2 linked regions of the Elephas maximus indicus genome follow. The protein of the gene in region 1 binds, or shares a complex with, the protein of each later gene. Links are inferred from orthologs where the notes say so. Each region holds a gene or a part of one and is shown on either strand. Other genes may lie near its edges.

Evidence for each region. The genes of interacting proteins can lie anywhere in the genome.
Region 2: the proteins of FBLIM1 (region 1) and FLNC are in contact, whole or in part, in an NMR structure (PDB 2K9U), measured with the Homo sapiens proteins. The link is inferred for Elephas maximus indicus from reciprocal best matches to the Homo sapiens genes FBLIM1 and FLNC. Residues at the interface, in NP_001337080.1 of Homo sapiens: Arg8, Val9, Ala10, Ser11, Ser12, Val13, Phe14, Ile15, Thr16, Leu17, Pro19; in NP_001449.3 of Homo sapiens: Thr2339, Ala2344, Gly2345, Gly2346, Leu2347, Ser2348, Ile2349, Ala2350, Val2351, Glu2352, Gly2353, Pro2354, Ser2355, Lys2356, Ile2359, Phe2361, Asp2380, Glu2382, Phe2387.

The regions. Positions count from the first base shown.
Region 1 is NC_064821.1:55,495,927-55,503,578, forward strand, and holds the start of FBLIM1 (filamin-binding LIM protein 1), read left to right. Parts: upstream 1-4,640; 5' UTR 4,641-4,709; intron 4,710-4,757; exon of another isoform or gene 4,758-4,833; intron 4,834-7,652. UniProt on the Homo sapiens protein: Serves as an anchoring site for cell-ECM adhesion proteins and filamin-containing actin filaments. Is implicated in cell shape modulation (spreading) and motility.
Region 2 is NC_064826.1:21,237,996-21,245,711, reverse strand, and holds the start of FLNC (filamin-C), read left to right. Parts: upstream 1-4,630; 5' UTR 4,631-4,824; coding exon 4,825-5,179; intron 5,180-7,716.

The DNA of each region.
Region 1 (7,652 bases):
TTCTCTGTCTCTTTGCTCTATTGTCTTCTGTGTTGGTTCAAATGGTGGTAAGATGGTGGTGCCAAGTTTGCATCCTACCAGCTAACAGCTGGAAAAGCTTGGCTGGAAAAATATGGCCTCTTTCCAAATAGTTGCAGCACAGAACCAGGACTGAGATTGGGTCTGGTGCTCATCTCAAAACCAACAGCCACCATGATTGGTCAGGCCTGGGTCATATATGCATCCCTAGAACCAGGAGGTGCAGCAACCCCAGGCATTGAGAGTTGAGGGGGTAGGGCTCCCCAAACAGAAATTTGGTGCTGTTACCAAAAGCAAGGGAGGGGGTGATGGTGAGCTGGCAGGAACCATGGACGCCCCTTAGATTCTCCAGCGGGACCAAGTTTCTTCCTCACCTTCAGCACTTTGCCCACCTCACTGTAATGTTCCGAAACCTCTATCCTCTATGTGGTGGGAAAAAGGAAGGAGTTCATTTCTGGACACCTACTAAGCACTAGGCATTTTTATCCACATTTATCCCATCAAGTCCTTATAACAAAGCCACAAAGGAGGTACTGCTACCCACAGGTTGCAAGAGGAAGCTGAGGCTCAAAGAGAAGTGACTTGCCCAAGGTAACAGGCCAGCAGAGTGGAACCCCTCACAGACACTGATGTTACTCATATCTGTGACTGTCCCCCACCCCTGCGCCTGTGCGATGACCTCTCACTTCTCTGTACTGCTGCACCCCTGCCAGCCCCTACCATGAGACCTGACACACACTAGGAACTTGGGAAATAGGTGTTCAACTGACCTGACTCCAAGCAGGCAGACTGGAGGATGAACGAAGGACGGGGGGGAGCCCCTGGGAGGGGAGGCCCGGGGTCTTCGGAGGCTGTTTGCCAAGGGTGGACACCCCACTCTGCAGTGTAACCTCATGCAGCTGCGCAGCCGGCACCCCCAGGCTGGCGCAGGGTAGCTCTGCTCTGACCTGGCCAGAGGGGAGCCTGCCAAGGGGAGGGGCAGCTAGGCAGATGCTTCCCTCCAGGTCCCTCACGGGGGCTGCAGCTCAGGGAGCCTGGGAGAAAAATTGCATGACCACAGGCTAGCGGACACCTTCACCCGGATCTCCCCAGGCTAGTCTTGATTCTTGGAGAGGAGAGTGCGGACTGTGTGAGCAGAGAGCTCTGGAAACCAGGAGAGAGTGATGCGAGAATAACAACTGCTTCAATTTGTGGGCACTAACTATTTTTTAACTATAGGCCAGGCCCCTTCAGTGCCTTTGTCCCTAACAGTCCTGCAGATGGAATCTTCATGTCCCCATTCGAGGGCATCCAGTCCAGCTCCCCTACTTTACAGGTGAAGAAACAGAGCCTTGGAGGGGGAGTCTTGTCCAAGGTCACACAGACAGCACCAGAGAGCTGGGCATTAAGCCTAAGTCTGACCCCAAAGCCCAGATTTTCCCCATTGCTCCTTCTCCCTGGAACGTTTGCCTCTGTTCTTCTCATCCACCCCCGTCTGTCAGTTTATTGTATTGTCGTGGTGCCTTGCATGTTGCTGTGATGCCAAAAGCTATGCTACCAGTATTTCGAATCCCAGGAGGGTCATCCATGGAGGACAGATTTTAGTGGCACTTCCAGTCTAAGAAAGAGTAGGAAGAAAGGCCTGGCAATGAGCCTATGAATTACAACAGAATATTGCCTGAAAAAAAAAAAAATTTTTTTTTATAGCACTGGAATAAGGTTAGAAGGAACTCAAAATACACGGTGGCTATAACAGCGGACTCGAGCAATCATGAGGGTGGCACAGGACTGGGCAATATTTTGTTCTGTTGTACATAGGGTTGCCATGAGTCGAAGCCAACTTGATGGCAACTAACAACATTCCTCTCATGCCTGGCTCTTCCTCATCTCAGCTTAAACGTCATCTCCTCAGAGAGGCCTTCCCTGAGCAGCCCCTCACCCCTTATTCTGTCTCAGCCTCTTCTGTTCCTTCATAGCACGTTTTACTCTTGGTAGTTAGTGGTATTAACTTGCTTTGCATGTCCGTCTCCTCCACCCCCTGCAAGTATGGTGAGGACAGGACTTGACCCCCACTGGCTCCTCAACTTGTGTCCAGCACATAATAGGTACCTGACCAATGTTTGTTGAGTCAGCACCAACCACCCTCTGTGGGCAAGCGGTGCCCTCCTCCCCAGCAGTCTTGGGGAGAAAAAAATCCCACTGCCCTCGATCTTGTCCCCAAACCTCTCCCCTACCCCGTTCCTGCCACCTGGGGTCTCACCTGCCACAACCCTAATAGAGGACTGGCCCCCCTGGCCCACCAGGCCATCTGAGGGAGAAGAAAGCTGGTCTGAGCCTGGCAGGGAGGGAGGCAGGGAGCAGGACTCTGAGCTGGCAGACAAAGGGCGTGTGTTCTCGCCCAGCCCACTTCCTGGGTTTCCATTGCAGGAACCTTGGCACCTGCCGATCAGTGACACCAACACCCAACACCCGAGCTGGTACAGGAGACCCTTGGCAGGACGCTCCTCTCCACCCAGGAGCAGCAGGGGAGGTGGGATAGGCAGCCGGGGGCAGGACGGCAGGAGAGTGGTGGCGTCTGGGCCCCTGCAGCACCCTGAGACCCTCTCAAGCCAAGCTCAGTCTGGATGTTGGGAGGCCTGCATTCTAGACTGTGTGACCTTGGATAAGGCCCCCAGAAAACCAACCTTTCTGTGCCTCCGTGTCCCCACCTGGGGTGCAGTGAGGTAGCTCAGGGGATACTGTCGGGGTGAAAGATGGCAGCTCCATTTTTATCTGTTTGAAATAAGTTTTCTGGGTCAAATCACTGGAAAAGGGGGTTCTATGGCCAAAAGTGTCTGAAAACCCCTGGATGGTGCCCTTCCCCCTGAAGGCCTTTTCAGCTCTGGCACTGAGTGGCTCCCTCCTTTTTCCTGTGGAGGGCATACGAAGCTCACTCCAAAGAGTGCTGCTAAGTGGGCGCACAGTTGCCACTCTAAGGGACTGAGCCCAAGCAGCCTGAAGTCCGTGTCTCACTCTGCGGGTAGAACTCTAGTCCCGTCTCCAAACCTCTGTAAAGGGTGGCAGTCCTGCCCAGCCCTAGGGCTAGCACAGCAGTGATACCCACTGGTCTGAGGTTGAATCCTGCTCCGCCACTAGCCCTTCGTGTGGCCTTGAGTCTCTCAGGGCCTCAGTGTCCTCATTTGTGACTCAGGACTGATCAGTTCTCCCGCACAAGGCTCTCATGGGGATTCAGTGTAAAAGAGGCACTGTAGGTGACCCACCAGCACAGAAGAAGCCCTATACATGACAGCTACTATTACTGCTGTTTGGAAACCCTGGGTGGCCTAAACAGTTAAGCCCTTAACTACCAGTCCAAAGGCTGGCAGTTTGAACCCACTCAGAGGCGCCTCAGGAGACATGCCCCACAATTTGCTTCCGAAAGGTCACACAGCCTTGAAAACTCTATGTAGCAGTTCTACTCTGAACACAAGGGGTCGCCATGAGTAGAAATCGAGTCTGTGGCAAGTAGCAACAATTACTGCTGTTGTTATTGGGCAGCGGCTGTGAAGATCAAATGAAAAAAGGGGATGAGAAGGGGAACAACGGAGGGGGTCACAAGCAGTGGGTGAGGGATCTAGGAAGGTAAAGGAAGAGAGCATGGGATAGGGTGTCTAGGTACCCGTCTTAGCCCCCAGGAGTGAGTCCCTCAGAGCAGCCCCAGAGCTATCCTGGGGGTGCTGACTGTCCCTGCAGAGCCCGCAGGGGAAAGCCAGCCCTGCCTGGCCTCCCCACAGATGGCTTCAGCCACTGTGGCTTTAATCAAAGGAACAATCTGCCTCTGAATCAGACCCAGATTCCTTTTCCCAGCAATGTTCCTGAGGCCTCTGGGGACCCAGGCGGCCCATCCCAGCTCCATCTCTGGCCCCTCCCCTCTCCATGTCTTATCTACTCCAGCCTGGAGGGGGACAAATTCAGGGGGCAGGAGGGAGGACATCAGTGACAGGCCCAGGCGTGGCAAACCAGGTGACCTGATTGCCAGCTGAGCCCTGTCTCCCAGGCCCGCGGCGCTGGGTGAGGCGTCCCTCCTGGAGAGGCCTGTCCCTCAGGCCACTGGGGCCCACATGTAAAAGGCTTAAGGGGCACAGGACAGCAAACCAAGGTGACTTGCTCCACTGGGGATCTCAGAGACCCCCCCGCAGCCCCCCCCAACACCCCTGAAAAAGCCCAAAGCCCAACATACATCACTCCTTGCTGTCTATATCACCTTTTACCCTCAGGCCTACCTGGAGAGGCAGGCTGTTATCTCCATTTTACAGATGAGGAAACTGAGGCTCAGGGAGGTAGAGTGACTGCCAGCGTCACACCGTTAGTGGGAAGCCATACAACCCAGATCCTCCTGACCCTCCTGACCCTGGGAAACCCCAGCCCAAACCAGGGATATAAGCACCCACCTCCATCTGACAGAACAGGTCGGGCCGCGATCCAGGTGACCTGGGGGAGGGGAGAGTGGAGTAACAACCCCTCAGGGTCCACAAAGGACTTGGGGGGTTGGCCACAGGGAAGGTCTCCTGCCCCCCAGGCCTGGGCCGAGGGGGAAGGGAGGAGTGGTGGAGGGAACAAAGGGAGGGGGAGGGGGGAGGGGGAGGGGGCGGTGCGGGCGCGGCCGGGCAGGTGGGGGCCGCTTCCGCCCGGCGGGGATCCCAGACCCCCTCCCCACAGCGTCACCTTTTATGGTAAGGCGGCGGCGCGGGGCGGGGGGCGGAGGGAGCGAGGGGCGGGGAGGCGGCGGGGCGGGAGTGCGGCGGCTGGTTTCGCCGGCTGGGGCGTCGGAGCAGAGCCCCGGGCGCGGCGGCCCAGGTAAGCGGGTGGGGGGGGGATCCGTCCTCCGTCCCGTCCCTGCCCCGCCACACACAGGTGACAGCGCGGGCAGCCCTTGGCAGGAGCCCACCTCCCCTCCAGCCGGGACCCCAGCCCCGGCGCTCCAGGAGGGGGCCTTCCGTCTCTGCCCTTCGGTCTCTGTCCCCGGAGTGGGGGAGGGGGGCGCAGGTTTGGGGGAGGGCTCACGGCGGGGAGGGTCGTGTCCCTGCCCAGGAGCCGGCGCCAGGAAAGGGGCGCGCAGGGCGGAAGCTCCCGCACAAAGAGCCAGCGTCCCGCACATGGATCGAATTAAAGTCCCTGGCCGGCGCCCCACAGCGACCCGGCCAGCCGCCCTGCCCCGCCGCCTGCGGGAGGCCGCCGGGCTTTCTGGAGCTCCAAGGACTCCGGGCCCCTCTTCCCAGCTGGGGTCAGGCGAAGGGGGGAAGGGGCCCAGGGCAGCCCCTCTCGGGCCTCGGATCCCCGTCGGGGGCTGGGGAGACGAGGGATTGGGCGGCCCCTAAGGTGTGTCCCCTTGGGGTGATCTTCACTTCGATCCTCCCGCATCCCAAATCTGAGGACCCCAGGAAGAGGCTGGGGCAGCGGCTACATTCCTGCTCTTAATAATGGTGGAAACCAGGTCCCAGTTCTCTGGGACCTCCAGCAGAGCCCAGAAACCCTCCACCCCGCCCCAGGCCCTTGAGGTCTGAATAACCAGCTGTCCTCCTTCGCACCTACCAAGCACCAATATCTCGATCACTCACTCCATTTATCCTCTTAGCCACTATTCAAGACAGACCCCTTTATTCTCATTTTATGAAAAAAAAAACAAGGACCAGAGAGGGCCAGTGACCTGCTCAGGGTCACCGAGCAAGAAAGAGGTGGGCACAGTGTGAACCCAGCTCTGAGTGCTTCTCTGGGGTGGGAGAGAGGGAACAGGAACCCCTAACCAGGGCTATAGGCTCCAAATGGGGGGGGGCACAGTCCCACCCCCACCCCCAGCAAAGTTTAATTCAGGACCCAAACACAGGCTACTTTGTGAGGGTGCTAAAGAACAAAGCTTAGAGGTGGTTCTGGGCGCTGGGAGGAAGGCGGACAGCAGAGGGAGGGGGCTCTGCCTGAAGCGCCCCCCTACCAGCCAGTCTGTCCTCGGCCCCGGGGCTGTAGGCTGGGTGGCTGGCTGGATCACAGCCTCCTTCCTTCCTCTTAACAGGAAATGACTCTCCCTCCCTTTGTTCCCACTTTCTTTGCTTACCCAACTGGGTCTTAGATTCACCTTCAGGGAGAGGAAGGTTAGGGATGGAGGATCCCCTGGGCCCTGCTGGCTGGGAGGCTGCCCCACAGGGAACTTACTCCCTCTAGGGTGATCAGGGAGGCAGTGGGCCAAAAGGAAGCTGGGCCTCCCATCCCCTCCTGGGGCCTTACAGGGCTTTGAAAAGCCCCACCCAGCTCAGGCCCTTCCCTTGGGGCCTGGAGTCCCAGCAGTAACCACTAGAAGGGAGGGGGCAGGGGGCTGCCCAGCTGTGCACATCTGGCTCCAGGACTGGAACATTTACCCCCGGAGTCTTCCAAGAAAGCAGGCGACTCAACTTCCCAGAGCGGGTGGGCTGGGGGATAGGGGTCAGAGCAGGGCGAGAAGGACGTGAAAGGGCATCCTGAAGGTCCCCAGCAGTCTCTGGAGACAGCCCAGAATGTGCTCACCACAGGATTTTTGCTCTGGTTTGGATCATTCTGGGGCGAGAACAGGCTGAGAATTTGGGGGCCCTAGCGACGCAGACGGCAGTGGGTTAGTGACATTCAGGGAAGAAAAAGCATGTCTGAGGAAGACGTAGTGTGTCTCCGCGGTCATTCCCTGGACCCTGTGGTCGGATGGTGCTCTGTTAGAATTCCGGGTCTGCCATCGATGGCTGGGACCAATGACTTAATGTCTTGGGGCTTACACTGTAAAATAGCTGTGTTGGGAATTAGGTGAGCTTTGAGGCATGTAAAGCACTCAGCACAGTGCCTGGCACACAGCAAGTATTCTTATCAGTGAGTGCCATTGTTGTTTTTATTATTGTAATCTTGTAGTCACCAAAGAGAGCCCACGAGGGCTGGTGAACTTTGAAAGAGGCCCATGACTGGCAGTTGGACTCCAGGTCCACCATTAGGGTCCTTTGGGGCCATGTCAGGGTGGCATAGCCCGAAAGGGGGAGGTAGAAAAAGGGCATAGTGTTATCCCAGGGCACAAGCCTTGGGTGCCTGGGGAAGCTCCTAAGCTGGTGTGACTGACTCACCCCATCCCAAGGCTCGGCCTTGGTCGCACACTACTGTCTGCAGAAACCACCTGAGAGATGGCAAATGGCCTTCCCCTGACCCTCACTGTGAGCCACCCTGCCCCCACATCTATGATTTGGTGCCTGCATTGTGAGCTGGACTCTGCAGACACAGCTGAAGGCACACACTGTCAGGGGGAGAGGGCAGACACGTGGAGAGTGAGCCAGCATGTCGTGTGACAGGGCTGTCATCACCCTGTGGAGGCAGACAACTGACCTCCCTGGGGAGGTCAGGGATCAGGGGAGCCTTCATGGAGGAGGTGATAAGCTCCTGGGCCTCTAAGGATTAGCCGAAAATTCACCCTGTGGGAGTGGGAAAGGGAAAACAGGTGGCAGAAACACTCAAAGGTAAGTAAGGGAGAAAGGCACCATCGAGGAAGAGTGAGTGGTCTAGGGTGGTCAAAAAGAGGCTGAGGCCAGAGGAATTCGGGCTTTATTCTGATGGTAGTAGGGAGCAATGGAAGGCTTTTGGGTAGAGGTGAAACAGACAGATTTATGCTCTAGAAA
Region 2 (7,716 bases), on another chromosome or scaffold:
CAGTCAAGTTCCTTGCCACCTTATAAAAGCATCACCCTAAAAAAAGAAAAGCACCATCCTTCCTCCATTGTCCAATAACCTGTTCATCATTTCCTTTTAAGGTTTCACCAGAAGTACATTTAACATCCACATTTCTAGCAACATTTTGTTCATAGTGATTGAAGCTTTCTCTAGAGGATTCCTCATTTCTTCTGAGCCCTCATCAGAATTACCCGTAGTGTCCATAATTCTACCAACAGTCTCGTCAAGGCAGTCTAGGCTCTTCCTATGAGGCTCCGAATTTCTCCAGATTCTGTCCATTACCCAATTGCAAAACCATTTCCACATTTTAGGTATTTGTTGAAGCAGTACTCCCACTTACCAATACCAAATTCTGTTTTAGTTGTCCAGTGCTGCTGTAACAGAAATACCACAAGTGGGTGGTTTAAAAGGACAAAAATTTATTTCCTCATGGGTTAGGAAGCTACAAGTCCAAAATCAGGGCACCAGCTCTAGGGTAAGGGCCTCTCTCTGTCCACTTTGGAGGAAAATCCTTGTCTCAGCTTCTCTAGCCCCAGTGCTCTTTGGTTCCTTGGCCATCTCCAGGTGGCATCTATCTTTCCCCTGTTTGTGCTAGCTTCTCTCTGTGTCTAATCTGCTCTTTTTATATCTCAAAAGTCATTAGGTTTAAGACACATTCTACTCTGATATGGCCTCATTAACATAACAAAGAAAACCCTATTCCCAAAAGGAATTGTATCCATAGGTATCTGAGTTAAGATTCCAAAACATAGTTTAGGGGGACACAATCCAATCCATAACACAGAGTGTCGGCAGGAATGTGGCCCTGCCTTTCCCTACATATTTTTCCTTAGAATAGACCTCTTCTTTTTGGAACACTTGCCTTTATGTGAGCATAAGCCCCTCTCTGCTCATGTTAGAACCTCATACTCTTCACTTGGCTTGAACTTCATGCCTTCTGGTCTTGTTGATACACATTGTGTTGAATGTGGAACATTCCCTTGAGCCGGTTTAAGAAAAAAGGGGCGGGATTGATTTTAAGTCGACAGGGGTGCCTCTTAGAAGCCACAGGCAGGCATGTAGCCAGGCCTACAGGTACAGTTGGAACCAAGGACTCCAGACCCCTTCAGGAGCCCCAGTTTCTCACCTCTGCTGTCCCTGCATAATGCTTCCTTTCTTCTCTCTCCCTCAAGACCAGCCCCCTCTGTTTCCCTGGCTCCCCTCCCCCCTTCAATTGCACATGGAAGAGCACCCTGCCTGCCACTCCTGCCAAGGACCAGCTGTTCCTGAGGCCAGTGCACGGTTCTAGAGATCAGTTGTGCTGCTGGCTCTGACTCTGGCAGGTGGAGGGTTAGTACACAGATTCACTAGGGAAGGGAAGAGGTGAGCAGTGTGGGGATTCCGACAGTGGTCTCTACAGGGGCTGTAGAGACAGAGCTGTAAGGGAAGAATTCACCAGGACCCACTTGGTCCCCAAGATACCAGCAGGGGAAGCAAATGACTGTTTTGGAGCACTTACTATATGCCAGGCACTGTGCTAATCATTTTACATGGTATCTCCTTTTATCTTCACACATTAAAAAAAAAAAAGAAATCCCTATAAGAACATTATTAACTCCATTTTATAGATGAGAAAACTGAGTCCCAGACACATTACACTACCTGCCCCAGGCTACAGAGCCAGAAGTGGAGAGGCTGGAATTCAGCCTGTGGATCCTTCTACTCTGCCACACTGTCCCTGGTACCAGGCCCAGGGCCACAGTCAGTGTCATTGATTGGTCAAAGTGCTGGCTGTGAGCTTGGACAGCCCCTGGTTCCAAAAAAGCAGAATTTTCCAACATGGCACATTGGAGCCGCTTACTCAGATTCTACTCAGCCCAAGTTAAATATGGCCAATGTTGTGGCTGACGAGCAATGCCCCTTGATAGGAGAGGCAGGACAGGTGAAAAGCCTGGGCAACCTGGTCTCCTGAGGCAGGTCAGCAGGTAGTGAGTCAGGGTGTTATAAAAGGACTGTGGCAGCCAGCGCAGCCCCAAATTCTTAGCTGACGAAACCCCCTGTAAGTCCCTCTGAGTGCCCCTGCTGGCTGGGGGAGGAACAACACCGTTGGTCCTCCTCAGGGAGGTGGCCTCACTTGGCAGGCCCCAGAACTAGCATTGTGCACTGTCTGTTCAGGCCCACATGGCTGGGCCTGGGGCCTGGGCTCACGGGCTATATTGAGGTCTGAGTCACCAGCCTGTGCCTGGGTCAGGCTGACTGTGACTGGCTGGCTAAGGACTGAGTCAGGCCCCGATTTATCCTGGAGAGCAATGAGGCTCAGGTTTCGGGGGAGTGGAGTGAGAGTGGGTGACAGGAACAATCCCTTGGCACTCTGTATCCTCCTCTGCCACCATCCACTCAGTCCCCTGGGAAGGCACACTGGTCTCTCCTGGAGTAAGATAATGAGTCAGAGCGGGGAGAGTAATGGGAGATTATATGTGGGAATTCTCTCTCTACTCACTTGCTTCTCTCTGAACTTTCCTCATCTCCACGGAGGCCCCCAGTTGACAGGGGACCTCAGGGAATATTCAAACAACAGGAATATGAGCCCTTAGGGCTTGAAAAGGAGCTGTCAGCTTCAGGCAGCCCCTTCTTACCCCTTTCTTCCTCCCCAACAGCTCAGAGAGAGGAATCTAGCCTTTCTCAGATCTGTACCTCAGTTTCTCCATGAGGCCTTCAGAGCTCCTGGCTCCTCAGGTTTGGATGTCAGAAGTCCCCCCTTTTACACATGCACACAGTTCTCTGGAGAAACCCAGCTCTGCCCCCTGAGGAGCTGGGCATCTCTCCACAGGAGAGCTTAGCTTGTCAAGTAGATGTGGAACACCGGTGCCTGATGGGTGGTTTTGGCCATGGGACGAAGGTGGCTTGGGGGAAATGAGAGTTCTGGAGACGCGGAGAGGGTTAGCCAGCAGGAGAGTGGAATTCCTGAGTACCTCGTCACAGGCAGCCGACAGAACATGAGCCACAAGGCCCAAGCTATTTATACCTCTCCTGTCACTATCAGGGCCCCCAGAGCTCCCCACCCCCCAGCCATGTACAGCAGGGCCCTTTTCTGTTTCTGGTCCCTTCTCTACTTCTCCCTTTCATTAAATGAGGAGGCAATCTCATTAAATGAGGAGGACAAGAAATCACTCACGGACACTTTCAATCATACATACTGTCCCCCGTAAAGCCCTTGAACTTCTTTCTCAGCTCCATAAGCCGGACTGACCTCATTCTGCCCTTGGGGATAGAGACCCCAAAGATGCCCACAGTCCCCTTCCTTTTTGCTAGGCCTGGGGGAGGAGAGGAAAAGGGTAGAAAGATTCACCTATGAGGTCCCAGAACCTTCCAAAATCCTCTCCATTGTCATCACATGCCTTGAATTGGGAGCTACCTGGCTTGAAGAAACTGCTCCAGCTCAGACATGGCCTACTACCCAGCTCAGCTTGCTATTGGCGATGTGAGAGTTTGCCTACTTCTTGCACATCCTCTCATTGATACGCCACTCAAAACTTACTGGGTCTGGAAGGATAGGAAAGATGACCTAAAAGGGAGGCCAGGAGACACGGAATACATGTATGCTACAGAATTGCAGGATATAACTTTTCTTCATGTAAATATGTTCTATAGCTCTTTCTTCTCATTCCAGGCCAGCTCGTCTGTTCATGTGCCTCAGTTTCCCTGCCATCGCCACTCCCCAGGCCTCTATCTGCCCTTGGCTCACCCTGGTTGGCTCCCTGGGGTTCTCTGGGCCGACCAGCCCTAGTCACTGTTCCCTCTAGGCTGCTCTGGGCAGGGCTCTCCTTGTTTGTGTCTGGCTAACCCACCCCCTCTCTGGGAGGATCTGCCCAGTGGCCAAAGTGGGCACATTGCCCAGGGGGCTCCCTGGCACTAAGGGGGCACAGTCTGTCCCTCCCCTCTCCTCACACTGGTTGAGTCAGATGGGGGGGGCACATTGTGACTCACTTGGTACCTTTTTCCTGAGCTCAGCTTCATTCTGAGAGGATGAGGCTAAATGGGCTGGTGACAGGCTCACTGAGTCAGGGGCAGCAGCCTCAGTCTTCCCCTGAGACCCTGGGTTTGGGCCCCAAATGAGGCCTTTCCACCTGTAAAGTGGAGCAGTGAGGTCAGGTACCCGGCCCCCCAAGTCTTCTAATTGGCCTGTCCCAGCTTCCTCTCAGTCCATCTCCACACAAGCACACACACTTCCCTTCTCAGCCCACAGGTGGACAATACCCTGGGCTAGGAGCCAGGCCTCCCAGCGCCTGTCAACGGCCCTGCCTCCAACCCGTCCAGAAAACTGTCAAAATTCTCTACGTGTGTCACCTTAACCACTGGCCTCAGTTTCCCCATTTCTCTCTTTAGCCCTGGCGGGGTGTGACGGGAGCATAGTTCATTTCGGACGGTGCTTAGTTTGGGGTGTCGGGGTGCAGCCTTGCCGGCGCTCTCGGCCCCTGGCCCGCAGCCCCGGGCGGGGAGGGGACGGGGAGACGCCGTGGGGGAGGGGAGGAGGCGGGGCCGCCCCCCGCGGCCGGGCGGCATTCCTGGGAGGCCGGCGCTCTGACGTGGCTCGGGGGCCGCGGGCTTCTTAAACCCCCGGGCCCGGCCCGCCGCACTTCCCGAGCACCGCTCCGCCCTCGGAGGGAGAGAGAGACCCGAGCGAGGAGGCCCGCGAGCCGCCCGCCCAGAGAAGTTGCAGAGCGCGCAGCCCAGCCCGCGGTCGCGCCCCCAGCCCGCCGGCCCACCCGAACCCGGCCCGACCCACCCGAACCGGCCGCAGCCCCTGCCCGCCCGGCCGCCAGCATGATGAACAACAGCGGCTACTCGGAGCCCGCGGGCCTCGGCCTGGCCGACGAGGCGGACGAGATGCCGTCCACCGAGAAGGACCTGGCGGAGGACGCGCCGTGGAAGAAGATCCAGCAGAACACGTTCACGCGCTGGTGCAACGAGCATCTCAAGTGCGTGGGCAAGCGCCTCACCGACCTGCAGCGCGACCTCAGCGACGGGCTGCGGCTCATCGCGCTGCTCGAGGTGCTCAGCCAGAAGCGCATGTACCGCAAGTTCCACCCGCGCCCCAACTTCCGCCAGATGAAGCTGGAGAACGTGTCCGTGGCCCTCGAGTTCCTGGAGCGCGAGCACATCAAGCTCGTGTCCATCGGTCAGTGCGGGCGGCGAGGGCACGGCGGGGGGACACGGCGGGGAGGTGTGTGTGTGGCGCGGAGCTGTCCCCCGGGCAGGGGGCACAGGAGCTGGTGGGCGCGGGGAGCAGAGACCTGGGGCAGGGCGGCTGGCAGGGAAATGCCTCTGCCCCGTCTCCCTCACCCTCCCGCTCAGGCCGCTGCGTTCAGGACTCTCAGGACCCTGGGCACCCGCGGCGTTCCCAGCCCTCCAGCACCATACACTCCCACCGACCTGCCTCTATTCATTATCCCTTTCCTTCCTTTGGGCGACTGGGACCCCCCCCCCTTCCCCGGCAAACAAAGCAGGTGGCCTCCCAGCACCTCCACGGGAAGGCGGGGACTGCAGACGGGTCCCCATCAGTGCCCAGATCCACGGGCTCTGAGGCGAGGGGGAGCTGGTGGGCGGCAGGATGTCGTCCAGGCCCACTTCGGGCTTGTGCTCAGCTCAGGTCTCAGGCCCGGGGCCAGGGCAGGCAGGGCCCTGCCTCAAACACCTAAAAAGGCACTGAGCACTGAACAGCGCCGGGAGCTTTAACCCCTGCCTGGCCTCCTCCTGCCCTGGCCCAGGGAGCCGGCTCCAGCCTTGGCCGGCCCCAGCCCATCCCGAAGCTGGGGATTGGCTGCAGCTAACGGTCTGGCCCGGGGAGGGAGGGGAGGCCTGTAAAAGGAGGGAGTCCTTGAGTGTAACCAGATTTGGAAGGTGTGTTGGGACGGGATGGGGGTGGGGAGGTACTCTAAGCTTGGCAGCAGAGAAGTCTAGGGTGGGTTTTGAGTGGCAAGTAGCGCCCCCTGTCCTCCCAGCCCTACAGTCATTTGAGTAGGCCAGGGTCCCGGGAAAGACCCTCACTCCCGGGGTAAACTCTTAAGAGTTCTGCTGTGAATTACATGAAGGGGCCCCATATGGGGCTCCATGTGGGCTTCCCAATGGGCCGGCCAGGTAGCCTAGAACCCCCCACGACTGCCTCAGAGACACCCCCAGATAATGGACTGTCTGTCCACCCCCACTGTCCCTCAGGGCCATCTCTGGTCCTCCTGAATTAGCAGCTGAGGTCAGTTTGGGGCCCTTTGCCCTGTCCAGTCCCCTCCCTTGGCCTTACCCCTCCTGCCCAAATACTGGCCCCCCCCCCCCAGCCCTCACCCCACCGCCTGCTCCAGCCTGGAAATAGCCCTGCCTCCGTGACACAGCAGATGTCTCTGAGCTTTCCAGAAGGACAAGCCTGAGGGCAGGCATGGGGGAGGGGGCTCTGGTGTGTAGTGAGGGGGTGTGGGGGGCTGCAGACTACATGACCGAGTGTGGAGGGAGAGTCAGAGCCTGGCCAGCCCCTGTCACCCCTGCATGCTGAAATTTGAGAGGCAGGACTGACTATCCCAGGTGGGGTCTCCCGGGACAGACAGGCTAGGAAGCCTCTCCACCTCCCTCCCCACTGGTCCCTCTCCAGGCCTCATCCTTCCGGACTGCACCTCTCCCTCCCCCAGAGCGGTGCCTGGCCCCTGGCCCCTTGGCTCTGAGCTGAAGGGGGAGAAGTGAAGGCTGGTCTAGGGGCAGGAGGGAAGCTCCTCCGTCCAGTTGAGAGGAAGGGGAGCTGGTCCCCATTTAGTAGGCCAAGTGGCTCCCTCGAGCTGATGAGATAAGCTGTCAGCAATTCAGCTGCTGGGGCTAAGGCTGGCAGGGAGGGGCCTGCTACAGGGGTGGTAGCCCGAGGTGTGAGGGAACAACCCATGGGAAGTCTGCTTCCCCTGGTTCCCCTCTTCTCATGTTTGGGGGGAAGGGGCTGTTCTGGGGGCCTCTGCCCCAGGCATGGTCTCAGACTGAAGGTGAGCATCTGGGCACCTGAGTGGGGGGCCCTTCTTGGAGAAGAGAAGCTGGGGCCAAGGGGGAGCTGGGAGTGGAGACAGCTACCCGAGGAGAGGTGCTTAGCCTGAGTTGGGGGAGCTCTGGCCCTTTGTGCCCCCTTACCCCGCCCAGGTCCCCTACTGCCCCCTCAGCCCCTCGGAACAAAGAGGCCTATGAGGCAACTCTGTCCCGCAGCTGTTCCCCAGTTGCTATTCCTTCTCCTTGAGCCAACAGCCGAAGGAGGGGCTGGAGGGGGCAGCAGCTGTCCCAGCACCTCCCTCGGCCCAGCCCTCTCTCCTCCTCCCCCTCCACTTGAGGCCTGGGGGCAGGGGCGGCTCAGGGACTGGCTTCTGGCTCCTCCCGCTCCTTTGGGGGTATCCCTAGGCAGGCGAGAAGAGGGCTTGGGGGAGTTATGAGGGAGGAAGCCTGGCTAGAGCTGAGCTCCCCTCCCCAGGCCTCCAAGGGGAAGGAGGGAGAGGAAGGTCACAGCTTCCAGAGTGGGACTCGGCCCCGGCCGCAGTCCCTCCCCCGCCCCAAGCCATGGACCACTTGCTGTCTGGCCCTGGGCCAGTTGCTGGGGAGAAACCTCGCTCTCCAGCAAGTATGAATGATCACCCCACACATCCCCTCCCAGCCCCCAGCAGTCTCAAGGTCTCCCTCCCTCCCTTTAGGGGGTCTGGC